Linked DNA regions of Caenorhabditis elegans. The protein of the gene in region 2 purifies or fractionates together with the protein of the main gene of each other region. This does not show direct contact. Each region holds a gene or a part of one and is shown on either strand. Other genes may lie near its edges. The genes, in order: sta-2 and mup-4.

Region 1 (3,928 bases), on a different chromosome or scaffold from region 2:
CTCCAGGCAGTCAATGGTGGCAGGGATTAATTGCTGAAACTGTGGTTACTTTCTTCTTGGTTCACACTATTCTGATCACTGCAGCTGATACTGATACAGTGAGTTCACTGAACATAAATTTGTACAAGTTACATTTTTAGGTAACATTAGCCCCTCTGGCAATTGGTCTCACGCTGTCGATTGATATTCTTTCAACGTAAGTATTGAAAATATTGCTAATATACGATGCCTCATAAATTAAATGTTTCAGTGGATCCATCACCGGCGCCTCGATGAACCCAGCTCGATCACTGGGTCCAAGCATTATTGGTTCGATTTTTGCAACTCAAAAAACATCTTTTTACTGGAATAATCATTATATATATTGGGCTGGACCACTTCTTGGATCCACAATAGCTCTTTGCATTTACAAGTAAGTGAAGAATAGCAAATTGAGGTCCAAGTGGGACGAGTCTCGTTTCCGTTAAATGGTTAATAAAAATATGTTTAAAATATTCATAATTTTCAGACTTTTCGAATCACGAGAAGAACGTATCGTGCGATGAACACGCTAAATTCATTACGTTTTGACATTTACCTGTGGTATTTATTTTTTATTCCCTTTTCAAATTCATATTATTTCTCATCTTTTCTTTCGAATCGAATAAATCGAAATCTTTTATTTCAATTCATTGTCGTTATGGGTGAAACAACATCTATCAACTGTGGGTTTTAAACTTTATGTAATTGAAAAATGTAACATTGAAGCTGCAATTTCAAGTAACAGTTCGTTGTCTTTGGCAAGCACACAGGTTCAATCACCAGAGAAACCAGTGAGACCGGCATGGCTACTTGCATCATTCTCTGAATCGACAACTTCTGGATCTCGTAGAATTTGTAGAATCTGTCAAATGCACGAGGGAGATATGGTTAGACCATGTGATTGTGCTGGAACGGTTAGTATTTAGTGATTCATAAATTTATGATAGTTTCGAAAAAGGGGACATTAAGGGCCTCAGAATCTCGTGGCTTTATGTTTTTGTATCCAATTTGTTTTGTAATTTTCGAAAAGTCTTGTATTTTTTTATATCCTTACTTATAGCCACGTAGAACAGATTAAGACAAAACCCCCACATTTAACAACTGACTTAAATATATTTTTTCTGAACATTGAATAAAATCCTGACACAAGACTACACAAGAAAAATATTGTATTGTTCAAATTAATTTACCAAATTCAGATGGGTGATGTGCATGAGGAATGTCTCACGAAATGGGTAAACATGTCAAACAAGAAAACCTGTGAAATTTGTAAATCTGAATACACGAATAGTGGTGCTCAGTTCAAGCCAATCAAGCAGTGGAGTAAACCAAAATGCTCATTAAATAATATTTTCCATGTTCTGATCATAGTTCTTCTTGGACTTTTGATTTCATACGTGGTAATTGTAATGGAAGAACGATGCTTTTACAAAAGAATTATTGAGAAGAATATGTATGCTCGCCCAGATGATACTGGAAGAATTTGTGAGTTTAAACATATATTACTTTCCAAATAACGACCTGTAGAAGTTTTTATCGAGAATAGTTACCTTTTCCGACTTTATAGAGGTTTTCGAATTGACAAACAAGTGCGAAATCTAGATCTAAGCAGAAAATAACAGAAATAACAGAAAAAAAATAACAGGCGGAAAATAGTTTCATCAGTAGACTTCAAATTACACATGTTCCAGGTGTGATTATAATTCTCTCCCTGGCAATTCTCAACAACGTATACACTCTGATTGCTCAATTCATTCGCTACTTGAAGAGTCAACGTCAAATTCGTTTCATTAATAAACATTTAACAATTTAAATTCGAATGAAGTGATGTTTTGTCTGCATTTTTTTCTAATTTTTTGTAATATTGTAAATTTATTCGATGAGTCATCTAGGAATCAGATGAAAAGAAAATGTATCTCAAATAAGAAGAGAGATAGACATACAGACTGCGCAAAACGAGTTTCTCGACCGAGAATGCAAGATGCCCACCCGACTGTCCGACGACATCGACGGCACTTTGTTGTAACATCGATTGACAATACAAACTCTGACATCATCGGTCACTTGTTTTATTTTGTTTTACTTTTACTCTTTTCTTAATTCATGTGACTACTTCGTCACTACTCCTCTGGTTTAAATTTTTAAATTCATTCTTCAAGTTCTAGATGTCGTCGGTGGTATCTGACCAAATGGACATTGAGTCCTCTTCTGCATTCTCCCCAGCCGAGCCAGTTGTAGATGGAGCATTCGTGTCAAAACATAATTTGAGCGCGGAAGCATATCAGGTAGGAACTTCAGTAAAACCTCAGTTATTAATTGTGATGAAAAGTCACAGCATTTACTGTTCATGATGCTGGTTTCAGGGTTTCAAAGAATGTGCAGATTCCCTTTTATCGGGGAAAATTGCCCAAAATGAGCAACTCCCATTCATTCAACGAACGCTGCAAATTTGTGAAAATGTGATCTTGAATTTCGAAGACGAAAAACAACATTTGATGAGCGATGTACTTCTTGTATGGGCTATGAAACAACAGAAGCTTAGTATTGCAACTCTTCACACCCAACAATTACATTACAAAGAATTAGATTTGATCAATTTACAATTTGAATATTTTGGGGAACTTTTGCAACAGACACTCTCAGGACTTGATTACTTGAAGCAATACTATCCGAACGTCGGATTTGAAGAGGTTCATTCAAAAGTTCGCAATTTGACCCATTATTTCCTTTACTACTCAATCATTGTCAGTCGTCAACCACCATCAGTGATTGTTAAATGTGGTGAAGCAGAGAATCATAGAAGAAGCAGATTCTGGTTTAATACTGAGATAAGGTTAGATTTATTCAAAAAAAAATGTTGAAATTTTTTTGAAGAAACAAGACCGGAGAAATTACATAATAGACCTAAATTTTGAATTAATTATTTGATTCAGAATTCTTGGTGGATCCGCTTTTGGAATTGATACAAACAATGAGAATTCAAATGTTAATTGTTACTTGATTACCGATGAGACTGCTAAGCAATTACTAAATAATGCTTACCTTGATATGTGAGTTTTGTAAATTATATCTGAAGCCAATTTCTTTTTTATTTTTAGTTTTGAATCTGAAGAATTCTGTATTGAGCCAAACACATCCACGTTTCAAAAAAAAGATGCAAGAGGAATAAAAGCGAAATTTGACGATATGGCGAGTTTTTCATTTAAAGATGGGAAATAAAAACAATTTCTTCTCAGAAAGTTGCAAAAAAGGTTGCACTTCGTCGAGATTCCGTTGCTACAAAACGATATTGTCTGTGCTATAATATTCAATTGCAAACAAATTGTGGAATTGAACTTGTCGGAAAAAAGGTTATAAATTGTTGGAGTGTATATTAAAATTAGATTTTTCAGGTTTCGCTTCCATTTGCTGTTCTTGTTGGTCCAAAAGCAGATGTTGAGGCAAAATTGTTCCTCGAAAGATCTTTTGCTGACTTGGTAAGTTTTTTTTTGGTATTTTTTAAAAAGAACACACACTATTTGGAACTCGAAAAATTTTTTAAATATCAACTGTGAGCTTTTTCAAAAATCTTCGAACAGAATTAAATGATCAAATTCCAGGTCCGCCATCCGCTTTCGGATATTCCCACTCATGTATCTTGTGCTGAAATGGCTGATGCTCTGGAAATGAAATTTCAAGCAATCATAGAAACACCTCAAAAAAATACTGATGGACCTTCTGTTGTTCAACCGAGAAAATTCAATATGCAAACAAAACAACACTTGGTGATGAGAATGAAACCAAATAATCAAGGATTTTTGCCACTTGATAATTTTATGAAGGTATGCGTTTTTTTGAAGTTTGGAACTTTATTTAAAAAATTATCGAAAATTGTCAAGAAAGGGAGAAAAGTGTCAAACTAGAAAAC
Region 2 (3,928 bases):
CACCATTCTGAGCAAATTTATAACACTTTGTAACATTGAATGCGTGCGAAACTTCTGAGCTACTGTACCCAAGAGTTTATATGATTCATTTACTTGCTTATAATTAATCAAAATTTAGAACAACTAAAGAATTTTACAACAATGAGACAAATATAAGAAACTTGTAAAACATGTGTTGATATATTTAAATGGTAAGGTCCAAGGGTGTGCGGCAAATTTGCCGAATTAGCCGGCCACGGCAAATTTGAAAAATGTGGACTTGCCGAATTTGCCGAGCTCGGCCAATTTCGAAATTCGCCGCACATCCCTAGTTTGCTCATGAAAGGGCAATGCGGTGATTTAGAGTTAAAATTGAAATTTTCTGGGAGCAGGTAATAAGATAATGTTTTTAGGTATGAACATTTTAAGCAAGAAATATATTAAAGTAACTTTAATCAAGAATTTGATATGCTTGCAAATTCCCTAGAAATAAAAAAAGGTTCACACGCTTTGTATGTTCTAGGAACAGTTATATTTCAGTGAGCTTTTATTCAAATGGATCATGAGATATAGCTGTTAATTTCTAGATCTCACAGGATCTTCTAACATCCACCTAGAACATCGACGATCACACTTCTGAACTTGTGTAAACTTCCTCTCTTTCTCCACCCTTACCATCAATTTCTGCAATATCTCAATTTCCTTCTATAATCAATCAAAGTTGCGTATACACACCCATCTCCGTGCCACGCCTTTACCTTTCCCATGGCATCGAAGGGTATTCACAATACCTCGGACAGCGTCCAGATGTACACGCAATTAAACATAGAGAGAAACACAGAGACACCTTCTGGTGTATTCCATTCTTTCATAATGCTTCTGGCATTGCCACGCGTACGGGGGGCGCAAACTTGAAAGATCCCCCACCTTCTCCCCCCGTCGGACACCATTCATTCCGTTTAGCCAATCAACCGGCCGATTATGTTGTTGCCTTTCGATTTCACGTCTTCTTTTTTCCCTCTTTTCTTCTTTTCGTTCGAAGTTGGCGTCGTTGAATTTCCTTCTTTCTGTATCTGGTTAACCGGTGTTCATGTCAGTGTTACGCAATCCATTCCCTTTTCCTCCTCCCTCTAGTGATAAGACTTGATATGATGGGACACTTCTACAGCTTGTTAGCTTGATGATGACAAAGTGAAAGGTACTGGATGAGGTTAAGGAAGTGACTCTGATAAGGGATACGGTAGCGTGGCTGATAGCGTAAGTTTAAGGATATCTTGAGCTTATTCTATTTGAACTACGTATATGCATATGACCTTACTGTTGTTTTTTGCTGACTGAAATACTATAAAGTAGAGCTTAAAATTGCAGTTTCCTTTCCTTCCAGCTTTAGATCTAACTTTGAGAGCTTTATGGTCTTTTCGCCTACACTGGAACTCTTTCTGGACCATGAGCAGATGAATGACAAGGTCTATACAGAGCCTTTTTTTAAATATACTTTTCCTATTAGACTTGCATCCCCTAGCTCCACTGAATGATTTTATCTCGGAAAAAAAAATTAAAAACAAGTGTCAAATGTTGAGCTATACTTCTGTAGTTGAGCGCCACAAGTCTAATAAAAAATACGGTAACTCAATCTTACTAAACTCCAATGGAGCAGCAGAGCATTTCATAGCAGTGAATGATTCCAAATCCAAAGTTATAGTTCCAAATATATTTAAAAAATCGATATTTGAAGAAATTCTGCAACTTACAGTCTGACGTTCATGTTCAAGCTTTATCGAAAGTCTAAGCCTATTATTGATAATTATTCATGCATGAAAATGTTCTCCCCGGCTTTTTCTCGATTTGTCATATTTCTTTTCCGCATTTCTTCACTTATTGTTTCTATCCCCTGCCATTTCATTTTCTCAAAACCAGCCTATCACAATCAAAGACTGTTGAGGAGAAAGACACTCCTATCGGTCAGGTTCGCATATCTTCTCCTCTGCGTCTCTTCATCTTGTATACTATTTCTTCCATCCAAATGCCTATTGGTTTCTTCTTGGGGCCCTCGTTTTCTCTCATTGCCAGCCACACCTTCCAGATATATGTTTGTTTCACGTCTTCTTCAACTTTTCTTCTTTTTTTTGTAAAATCTGTTGCTCTCTCTCTCTCTCTCTCTCTCACATCTCTTTGTATTTTGTTGATTGCCAATGATCAGAAAAAAGATTCGACGAAATCAAAGTTTTCTTGATTTTCCCTTTTCTAATTTTCAATTCTTATTTAGCCTCGAATTTAATTATTTTAAGGGTCACGATCTCGATGAGGTGGGTGCCGTTAGTGCTCCTGCCGTTGATCGCCTCGGCGGCAACAACCTATCAACATCGGCAGACCTATTGTAAGTTTTTAAAGCGGGTGCAACTTTCTACTTATTGAATTATTTTGTTAAATGCATAATGTTGAAAAAATTATCAGTTTGAACCGCTTCTATGGTGGCTCTTGCCTGCCTACGCGCCTACCTATCGCGTCCCGTTACCATTTTTGCAGACAGGCAGGTATTTTGTGCTTGGTCTCACTTCACTTTTTCCTTTTGAGCCTAGTGAAAACCTGAACTTGAAAAATATCTTTACATTTATAGATTGACCCCATTAAATTACAGTAACCTCGTTAGTTCCCATTACTTTTGCCCTCATTAGTATCTAATCAAACTTTGGCAAAACCAAATGTGTCACTTTGTTTTGTTATTTCAATTTCTGATTGGTTGGGATCGATGTTAGTGTAATATTTCATTTGCCCTTCCCTTCTTTTTCTCTCTCATTCCCATATCTCTAAACCGTTAGCTTCCCTTTCTTTGGCATTTTCATTATCATTACCAGTCCTCTTCGCAGTCTCATCCCACGCGCTCCCATGTGGAAATAGCTTGAAAAGTTTGGAGACCCTGAGAAAATGGTTAAGGGCGTGGCAGTTTTGGCACACCCAGATGTGACCTTGTGTGAACACGTATACATAAATGGCATTCTGATAGAAAGGAAGAAGAAGAAGAGAGGAGATCAAGACGTTTTTAGGGAGTGAAAAATAGAAAAATAATATATGATTCATCACTTTTTAATTTAATGAATTTAATGATTGTTGTGAAATGGGGAATTCAAAAATTTGGCAAATTCGGACTTTAATCGACTGTTTTTCAGCTAGTCTGCAATGCCGAGTAAACGACCCACTATCATGTAATCAAGCAAAAAGCGAGGTAAGCAAAAAACGAGATTCTACAAAAATAGCAAAGATCAACAACATCTTAAAATGTTTAGTCTGAAAATGAAAACTCAAAGTGAATTTTATAGAGGTGTTCAGATCGGATTTTTAGAGGATACCACGATGAAAAATTTTGCATATTATCTAGGAATACATTTTCTAGTTCTTAATTTTATAAATTGTTGTTGTTTTTTCTGGCTATGAAATATGTGATAAACCTTTAGGTTTGCGTATTTGTGAACGGGCAATACCGATGTGAATGTCCCGTTGGAGTATCCCGTCTCGCCGACGGTCGCTGCCTCGTCGTCAACGAATGTGCTCGTCCATCACTAAACGCTTGTCACAAGGATGCTCAATGTGTTGATCTCGCAGAAGGATACACGTGTCGTTGTAATTCTGGATTCGCTGACACATCACCAGATAAGGTTAACAAACCAGGACGTCAGTGTCAGAAGACAACGAATGAGTGCGGAGCTAAACAGACTTATGGTGTTGATTGTGATGAAAATGCAGCTTGCGTGGATACTCCAGAAGGTTTCCAATGCGTTTGCCAACCGGGATATGCTGATGTTTCCACTTCGATCTCTAAACTTCCTGGAAGAAAATGTGTTGAATCGGTCAATGAGTGTACTAACGGAGAGGCTGATTGCTCTAACAACGCTGACTGTTTTGATCGTGCTGATGGGTACGAATGCAAATGTCGCCCAGGATTTGTCGATGC

The links.
Region 1: the proteins of mup-4 (region 2) and sta-2 purify together in Caenorhabditis elegans (affinity purification with western blotting, with the first as the bait; one study listed by BioGRID). This does not show direct contact.

The regions. Positions count from the first base shown.
Region 1 is NC_003283.11:9,739,037-9,742,964, forward strand, and holds the start of sta-2 (Signal transducer and activator of transcription b), read left to right. Parts: upstream 1-2,169; 5' UTR 2,170-2,186; coding exon 2,187-2,306; intron 2,307-2,384; coding exon 2,385-2,854; intron 2,855-2,954; coding exon 2,955-3,071; intron 3,072-3,119; coding exon 3,120-3,210; intron 3,211-3,257; coding exon 3,258-3,371; intron 3,372-3,413; coding exon 3,414-3,497; intron 3,498-3,620; coding exon 3,621-3,842; intron 3,843-3,928. Other genes in the region: aqp-4 (Aquaporin), read left to right, coding at 1-98, 141-196, 251-412, 509-545; marc-1 (RING-CH-type domain-containing protein), read left to right, coding at 680-704, 748-935, 1,221-1,506, 1,713-1,834. UniProt on the Caenorhabditis elegans protein: Carries out a dual function: signal transduction and activation of transcription. Required, in concert with transcription factor elt-3, for up-regulation of the vacuolar H(+)-ATPase and acceleration of lysosome maturation at molt.
Region 2 is NC_003281.10:7,487,415-7,491,342, reverse strand, and holds the start of mup-4 (Transmembrane matrix receptor MUP-4), read left to right. Parts: upstream 1-2,237; 5' UTR 2,238-2,280; coding exon 2,281-2,356; intron 2,357-3,146; coding exon 3,147-3,202; intron 3,203-3,431; coding exon 3,432-3,928. UniProt on the Caenorhabditis elegans protein: Required for junctional attachments between hypodermis and muscle, and between the apical epithelial surface and the cuticular matrix.